2 linked regions of the Sus scrofa genome follow. The protein of the gene in region 2 interacts with the protein of the main gene of each other region in a pairwise test. Links are inferred from orthologs where the notes say so. Each region holds a gene or a part of one and is shown on either strand. Other genes may lie near its edges. The genes, in order: ZNF639 and PNKP.

Evidence for each region.
Region 1: the proteins of PNKP (region 2) and ZNF639 interact in binary tests that used the Homo sapiens proteins (3 or more experiments, as listed by UniProt). The two-hybrid records come from large-scale screens. The link is inferred for Sus scrofa from reciprocal best matches to the Homo sapiens genes PNKP and ZNF639.

What each region holds. Positions count from the first base shown.
Region 1 is NC_010455.5:117,380,311-117,384,555, forward strand, and holds the end of ZNF639 (zinc finger protein 639), read left to right. Parts: intron 1-1,961; coding exon 1,962-2,096; intron 2,097-2,232; coding exon 2,233-3,386; 3' UTR 3,387-3,668; downstream 3,669-4,245. UniProt on the Homo sapiens protein: Binds DNA and may function as a transcriptional repressor.
Region 2 is NC_010448.4:54,873,825-54,878,121, forward strand, and holds the end of PNKP (bifunctional polynucleotide phosphatase/kinase), read right to left. Parts: intron 3,783-4,297; coding exon 3,703-3,782; intron 3,624-3,702; coding exon 3,566-3,623; intron 3,486-3,565; coding exon 3,378-3,485; intron 3,041-3,377; coding exon 2,969-3,040; intron 2,042-2,968; coding exon 1,667-2,041; intron 1,583-1,666; coding exon 1,486-1,582; intron 1,395-1,485; coding exon 1,333-1,394; intron 1,174-1,332; coding exon 1,064-1,173; intron 977-1,063; coding exon 889-976; intron 806-888; coding exon 744-805; intron 666-743; coding exon 548-665; 3' UTR 502-547; downstream 1-501. UniProt on the Homo sapiens protein: Plays a key role in the repair of DNA damage, functioning as part of both the non-homologous end-joining (NHEJ) and base excision repair (BER) pathways.

The sequences.
Region 1 (4,245 bases), on a different chromosome or scaffold from region 2:
GTGTAGGTTGCAGACGCGGCTCGGATCTTGCGTTGTTGTGGCTCTGGCGTAGGCCGGTGGCTACAGCTCCGATTCGACCCCTAGCCTGGGAACCTCCATATGCCGCGGAAGCGGCCCAAGAAATGGCAAAAAAAAGATGAAAAAAAAAAAAAAAAAAAAAAAAAAAAAACCACTAGGAGGTACCACCTTACACCAGCCAGAATGGCCATCATCAAAAAGTCTACAAACAATAAGTGCTGGAGAGGGTGTGGAGAAAAAGGAACCCTATTACACTGTTGGTGGGAATGTAAATTGGTGCAACCACTGCGGGAAACATTATGGAGATTCCTCAGAAAAGTCAAAATAGAACTCCCATTTGATCCAGCAATCCCACTCCTGGGCATCTATCCAGAGAAAACCATGACTGGAAAAGACACATGTACTCCAGTGTTCATTGCAGCACTCTTTGCAATAGCCAAGACATGGAAACAACCTAAATGTCCATCGACAGAGGAGTGGATCAAGAAGATGTGGTACATGTACACAATGGAATATTACTCAGCCATTAAAAGGAACAAAGTAATAGCATTTTTAGCAACCTGGATGGACCTTGAAATTATCATGCTGAGTGAAGTCAGCCATACAATGAGACACCAACATCAAATGCTTTCACTGACATGTGGAATCTGAAAAAAGGACAGGATGAACTTCTTTGCAGAACAGATACTGACTCACAGACTTTGAAAAACTTCTGGTCTCCAGAGGAGACAGTTGGGGGGGGTGGATGCGCTAGGGTTGTGGGATGGAAATCCTATAAGATTGGGTTCTGATGACCATTGTACAGCTATAAATGTAATAAATGCATTGAGTAATTTAAAAAAATAAGGAAATCAAGTTGAAGTATGGACTTTAGTTAAGAACCACTTACCAGTATTGGTCTTTAATTGTAACTATTATTTTTTCTTTTTACGGTTATACCTGTAACGTATGGAAGTTCCCAGGCTAGGGGTTGAGTTGGAGCTAGAGCTGGGACTGACAGCAACAACAGATCTGAGCCTCATCTATAACCTGTGCTTCGACTTGCAGCAATGCCAGATCCTTAACCCACTGAGCAAGGCAAGGGATTGAACCCACATCCTCACAGACACTATGTTGGGTTCTTAACCCACTGAGCCATAATTAGGGGATCTCCTAATTATAACAAATATTAATGTAAAATGTTTTTTGTTTTGTTTTATATATATATATATATGTATATATATATATATTTTTTTGTCTTTTTAGGGCCACACCCACGGCATGTGGAAGTTCCCAGGCTAGAGGTCTAATCAGAGCTGCAGCTGCCGGCCTACACCACAGCCACAGCAACACCAGATCCGAGCCGCATCTGCAACCCCCACCACAACTCAGGGCAACGCTTGATCCTTAACCCCCTCAGCAAGTCCAGGGATCAAACCCGCAACCTCATGGTTCCTAGTCGGATTCGTTAACCACTGAGCCACGATGGGAACTCCTAAGGTAAAATGTTGATAGAGAGAAACTGTAGAATATAGGAGAATGCTTTGTCCTATTTTGCTTTTTCTATAAATCTGAAACTTCTAAAAAATAAAATCTATTTTCAAAAGACATCATGTTGAAACCCAGTTTTCTCTACTGACTGGCATTTCAGTTTGTCCTTGCTAATTTTAAATTTTGGAGGCTGGACTGAGAGAACAGAGACTTATTCAAATTCAGTAATTTAAAAATAAAATTCCCATGTAACTTTAAGAAGTGTATTCTAGTCCAAATGTAGCAGGGAAGCATTAGTTTGTTATTTGGACAGATTTTCTTTGTATCTGTGGTATACAGATAACAAAGCTTTTCATACCTAAATCTAAGTCCTTAGTTGTGTTGGAATTCTAAGTTTAAAACATTTGGTGGTTTGTTTTTATAGTAATGTTTAATGCTTTGATATAAATATTTTTCCAAATCCGTTGTAACAGATGATGATTCTGATACAGAGACATCAAATGACTTGCCAAAATTTACAGATGGAATCAAGGCCAGAAACAGAAATCAAAACTACCTGGTTCCCAGTCCTGTACTTAGAATTCTAGACCACACTGCCTTTTCTACAGGTAAGGGAAACTAATTAATAGCATTTGCACATTTTGTATAGATTAATGAAGAAATAACACATAAAATAAATTTCTTTCTGCCAATTACTTATTTAATAGGTCTTATTTAGTAATAATAGGCTTTTTTGTTTTTCAGAAAAATCTGCTGATATTGAAATTTGTGATGAAGAGTGTGACTCCCCTGAGTCAGTCAACCAGCAGACTCAAGAGGAAAGCGCTATAGAAGTTCACACTGCTGAAGATGTTCCAATTGCTGCAGAAGTGCATGCAATTTCTGAAGATTATGATATAGAGGCAGAAAACAATTCCTCTGAGAGTCTCCAAGACCAAACTGATGAAGAGCCACCAGCTAAACTTTGCAAAATTCTTGATAAGAGCCAAGCTTTGAATGTGACTGCCCAGCAGAAATGGCCTTTACTGAGAGCTAATAGCAGTGGCCTTTATAAATGTGAACTTTGTGAGTTCAACAGCAAATACTTTTCTGATTTGAAGCAGCATATGATCTTGAAACATAAACGAACTGATTCAAATGTGTGTCGAGTATGCAAAGAAAGTTTCTCTACCAACATGCTTCTGATTGAACATGCCAAACTGCATGAAGAGGATCCCTACATTTGTAAATACTGTGATTATAAGACAGTTATTTTCGAGAACCTTAGCCAGCACATTGCTGACACCCATTTTAGTGATCATCTTTATTGGTGTGAGCAATGTGATGTACAGTTCTCCTCAAGCAGTGAACTCTACTTGCATTTCCAGGAGCACAGCTGTGATGAACAGTACTTGTGTCAGTTCTGTGAACATGAAACAAATGATCCAGAAGACTTGCACAGCCATGTGGTAAATGAGCATGCATGTAAGTTAATAGAGTTAAGTGATAAGTATAACAATGGAGAACACGGACAGTACAGCCTCTTAAGCAAAATTACCTTTGACAAATGTAAAAACTTCTTTGTATGTCAAGTATGTGGTTTTCGGAGTAGACTTCATACAAACGTTAACAGGCATGTTGCTATTGAACATACTAAAATTTTTCCTCATGTTTGCGATGACTGTGGGAAAGGCTTTTCAAGTATGCTAGAATATTGCAAGCATTTAAATTCACATTTATCAGAAGGCATTTATTTATGTCAGTACTGTGAATATTCAACAGGACAGATTGAAGATCTTAAAATTCATCTAGATTTCAAACATTCAGCTGATTTACCTCATAAATGTAGTGACTGCTTGATGAGGTTTGGAAATGAAAGGGAATTAATAAGTCACCTTCCAGTCCATGAGACTTCTTGATTGTTCTCTTTAACTTCCGTAATGTTGATGTAATATAATAAATTTGACTTTTTTGAAGATGTTAAAATGGATGATTTTAAACAATTTATGAGAATTGTCTTTAACAAGTTTTTTAATTCTCCAATTTTTTTGGCATTGCTAGCTTTTTCAATATGTAATTTATCCTAAATGTGGTATTTTTGATGCATTGTAGTTTGTAGTTTTTACCACTTTTGGTGACTGTCATCTTGTTTCTTGCATGTGCTCTGATTTCATAAATTGATAAGAAACAGATGTACTGAAGAAACTAGACTACGGTTTTCCTTCTGTAAACATAGGTGCTATAAACTTTTTCTTCTTTAAACTCAAAACAACCTCAGTTTTTCATGTGTGAAGTACTGCACTACCAGAACTAAAATGCAACACTGTACACAATTAAGTCCACTGACACTCCCATTAGTAAGAACCAGACCCTCCTTTGGCATTCCCCATCAGGTTATTATCCCCAAGGCAATCAGCGTGCTCTACCTCTCTGTGATTTTTTTTCAGTGACACTAGGAGGCCAGTGTTAGGGTAAGAAGGAAAGATTTGGTTTTGCTGGCGCTCTTTTTTATTTCCCCTTTATTTTAGCCCTTATCTTTGTGTCAGTTTTAGATGGGGGTGGGGAGGAACTGGAAAGGAATTAGACAATAAGGTAGCATTTCATAACTCATTTATAAATGAAATAGATTATAATCACATTTCATTTTCAGTTATACAACTGCAAAGTAATCCCTAAACTTCAGATATAAAGTCATTTCTTTTCTTTTTTTTGCTTTTTAGGGCCACACCCGCAGCATAGGAAAGCTCCCAGGCTAGGGGTCAAATCAGAGCTACAGCT
Region 2 (4,297 bases):
TCGCAGAGGAGATTCTCTCTGAGATCATGTCACCTGAGCCAGGTGGGGACGGGCTTCGGGTCTGGGTGCTGCTTGTTGGGCGCCGGGTCTTCCAGGGCTGACTTCGCGGCAGCAGGGCCGGCTCCCGGAACCCCACTCGACCTCCGGGCCTCGCATAGCTGGGCGCAGACGCAAGGCGGCGCCCCGCAGCTTCCTGCCTCTTGCTGCTGGTCTTGCCCGCAGGGGCCCCCTCGCCACTGCAGGCCCAGGCCACAGCCCCGGGGCTCAGGTCCAAGGTGCAGAGCGTCTGGCTTCTCCGCCTCTCCTCTTGGGGTCCCGCGTTTGGCCTCGCCCGCCTGGGTGGGCTCTGCAGCTCCAGGAGAACCCCCCCTGGGGCCTGTCCGCTGGGCCGCCCAGCCAGAGCACCCGCAGAGCCTGCGAGGGTACGTTTCTGAAGCCCCGCCAGCAGGCTCAGCACTCCTGGGGGCCCCCCTTTCTTCCCAGCAAAGTGCTGGTCACGCATGAAGAAAAGAGCGTTTATTGGGCATTGGGAGCGGGCAGGGGTGGCTCAGCCCTCTGAGAACTGGCGGTACAGCCGCTCAAGCTGCGGCGCCACGTGCAGCCGGAACGGGATCTCCAGGACGGCCGCGAAGCCTTCGGCCAGCGTGGGTGCTTCGAACTGCTTCCTGGCGGCAGAGGGCGACGGTGGAGGTGGTTCCTACCCGGTCCCCGGGTCCCCGCCCCCCGCCGCCCGAGGCACCTGCCTGTAGCCGTAGATGACGATGTCGGACACGGGGACGTGGGAGGGGTCCGTCATCTCCCGGAACTGCGGGGACAGAGGGGGATGGGTCAGGCCGCGGCGGGGCCAGGGCGGGGGCGGGTCAGGCCGCGGGGCCGCCGCCGGCTCACCCGGTTGTTGTGACGCGCCTGCTCCAGGCTGGCGCTGAAGAGGAAGCAGCGGCAGGGGACGCCTGCGTCTCGGGCACACTTGATGTACCTGTTAGGGGCGGGCTGGTGAGGGGCCCCGGCCCACTCTGCAGAGCCCCCCCCCCCCCCCCGTCCCCCGGCTCCGGAGACCCGGTACCTGGCCCGGCTCTGGAGGTCCGGGTTCGTGTTATCGATCACGACCCGTTTCCGTTGCTTCAGAGCTGCCTCGCAGGTGGTCACGCAGCGCTGCCAGGAGCCCAAGGTGTCCTGGGGACCCAGGAAGAGACCAGGGGACAGGGACCCAGAGAGAAAGAGAGCCACAGATACAGGGTTAGGGACTTGGGCTGTGGGGGACCTGAAAAAGAAGGCGAGAGGTGGGGGGGGGCAGAGACCAGGGATGGGACGGGGCTCCCGGCAGGGCCCTACCCTGTTCACGTGGACGTAGCCGGCAGACACGAGATGCTCCCGGAGGAAGGTGGACTTGCCGGCTGTGAAGGGTGCAGCGTTAGTGGAGCCTGCCTGGGGCGGGGGCGCGGGGCAGGGGCAGGGGCTTCTAGGTCCGGGGTCGGGGAGTCTCACCCCCAGGAAATCCCACGGCGACGACCACCTCAGGGTCCGGGCTTAAGAGGGAGCTGGACTCGGGGAGGCAGAGAGGCCCAGAGCGGGAGACGGTCCTCTGGGAGGGGCGGACACGATGGGTGAGACGGGACCCCTGCCCCTCCCCTCCGCCTCCACTCCAGCGCCCAGCCCGAAGCCTCACCGGGTCAAAGGCTGGCAGCTCAAAGCGGGCCACCGGCCACTTCAGAAAGAACTCCTCCGGCGTGGCGAAAGGCAGCCCCAGGTTGAGGGCAAACTGGGGGCAAGAGGGAAGGTCAGACGGGGGCGGGCCGGCGCGGGGCGCGGGGCAGGGTGGGGCGGCCTCACCAGGCGGTCTGCACACGAGAAGTCCTTCTTCTTCCGCCCCGGGGCCCAGTTGGCTGGGCGTCCGGCTGCATCTGGAGCACACAGAGGACACACCCCCACCTCCACCAGCAGCCTCACGGGACGGGGGACCGAACCCACCCCCCTCAGCCCCTAGGTCCTTACCGCCCACAAATACGCTGTCTCCTATGGAGATGGGAACACCCTCATTGCCCTGGGGAGGGACAGACGACAGGTGGTAAGGAACCCACTCCCGTCCCCACCCCCACCCCGCAGAACACTAACGGCTCCCAAAGTGATGCTCGGCTTGCCCAGGGCCCCTCGCTAGGCCTGGTCTCTAAGCTCTGGTGCCCTGCGTCTAATCCATCAGCAAGTGCTATTGGCACAGCCTTGCTGCCACTCCTCACCCCCTTCACCAGCATCTCTCTGAACTATTCCCTCCCTCCTTCCTGGTTTCCCAGCTTCCATTTTGGCCCGTCTGTTCCCCGCATGGCCGCCAGAGGGCGCCGGCTCCTACCTAGTCCCATCCCTCCAGTGGGGTGGCCACCTGTGGGGCTCATGGGACCCCCTGCTCGCCTCCTCACCCGCTCAGGTGCAGCCACAGGGCCTCCTTACTGCCCATGAGTGAAGTGGGCTCGGTCCCACCTCAGGCCCCTTGTGCTTTCTACTCCTGCCTGGCCCCTCCTTCCCCTACGTGGCTCCCGCCCTCGGCAGCTTTAGCTCTTTCCTCAGTGGCACGTGGAGAGGTGTTCACGGCCTCCACAGCCGCAACGACACCCCGCCTTATCCTCGCTCTGCTGTCCTGTGCATCTCTCAAGGTCTCTATAATCTGTACCCTCCCTGATCCGGGAGCTGGCAGATCTGTCGTCTTCCCTAATATCTTCGGTCAAGAAGCTGTTGAGCTTCGGAACACACACACACACACACACACACACGCACACGAATGAATGAATGCACGAGCGATTTCCCTCTCGACCACTCTGGCTTCCAGGGTTTAAGAGCACCGGCCTCAGGTACCAACACTAGGACATGATAGCAAAGAAACTGACAAGACCATGCCCGGCAGGAGAGGAAGGTCATGGGCCAGAAACCGAGTGGGGAGGCGGAGGGAAAGGAGAGTCACTGGGAGCCCGAAGCTCACCTGTTCCCGCAGGTGGTCCCACATGCCGATCACCGGCTTCCGGTACAGGCCCGCATGGGTGGCCACCAGCACCTGTGGGCGGGGCGGGGCGGAGACACCATCCCTGGCTCCTCCTCTAGCACCCAAGGACACCCAAGGACACGTGGGTCCTAAGGATGCTACCACCCCGACGCTTACAATCCAAGGAGAAGGCCAGTGCCCCGGATCATGATGGGTTGCCATCAGCATAAACCCGCACCCCTACCCCACCATTCACCCAGGGTCTCTGCCCTCCCAGCTGGCTCTCCGTGTAATGCCTTCTCCCTGGGTCTCTGTTCCCTCCTCTCTGTCCCATCTCGGCGTCTGTGTGTGGTCCCCCCCCTCCCGCCCCCGCCCCGCCATAGCCCTTCGGCTTCCCTTGCAGCCATACCTGAAAGGGAACCCCCAGCTTCTCCACCACAGCCTCCACCTTGGCCTTGAACTCCTCCGCTGGCAGCTTCCCGCGTCCAATGCCCATCTGGTTGGTGAAGATCACCAGCTGGGGACAGATGGGCGTCACCCGGTGCCCTCATGAGGCCCAGGCCTGTCTAGCGTCCCCGCCACCACACACGCACACACCTTGTAACCCTCCGCGTCCAGTTCCCGGAGCTTCCGCGGAATCTCCAGGTACAAGATCCTAGGGCGGGCGAGGAAGCGCAAGGTGACCCGGGGTCCGGAGCGCGCCGCACTCACCCCCTCCTCCTGCCGCCGATCACCTCCAGTCGCTGGGGCCCGTGGGAAAGACCTTCCCAGATCGTGTGGTGATGAGGGTCCCATCGAGATCAAAACTGGCTACCTGGCGTCACCCGGAAAAGAGAAAGCGCAGCTCGGTTACACCTCTGATCCCCCTTGCTCACAGGCTGGTTTCCATCGACCTGTAGGGTGGGGAACTGAGTCACAGGGAGACGACACAGCTTTTGCAAGGATAAGTCATGGTAAGATGCATCCGGGAAACCAGAGGGCAGAGAGTGAAGGCTTCACCCCACCACCTCCTATTCCTCTCAGCCTCTCATTGTTTCCATCTTTAAAATGGGCTTCAGGAGTCCCCGTCGTGGCTCAGCGCAAATCTGACTAGCATCCATGAGGACACAGGTTCGATCCCTGGCCTTGCTCAGTGGATTAAGGAGCCGTGAGCTGTGGTGTAGGTCGCAGATGCAGCTCAGATCCCGAGTAGCTGTGGCGTAGGCCAGCGGCTACAGCTCTGATTCGACCCCTGGCCTGGGAACCTCCATATGCCGTGGGTGCGGCCCTAAAAAGCCAAAAGGGGGGGGGCTTTAAATCTGACCCAGCCTCCCCCCCTGACCTTTTCCA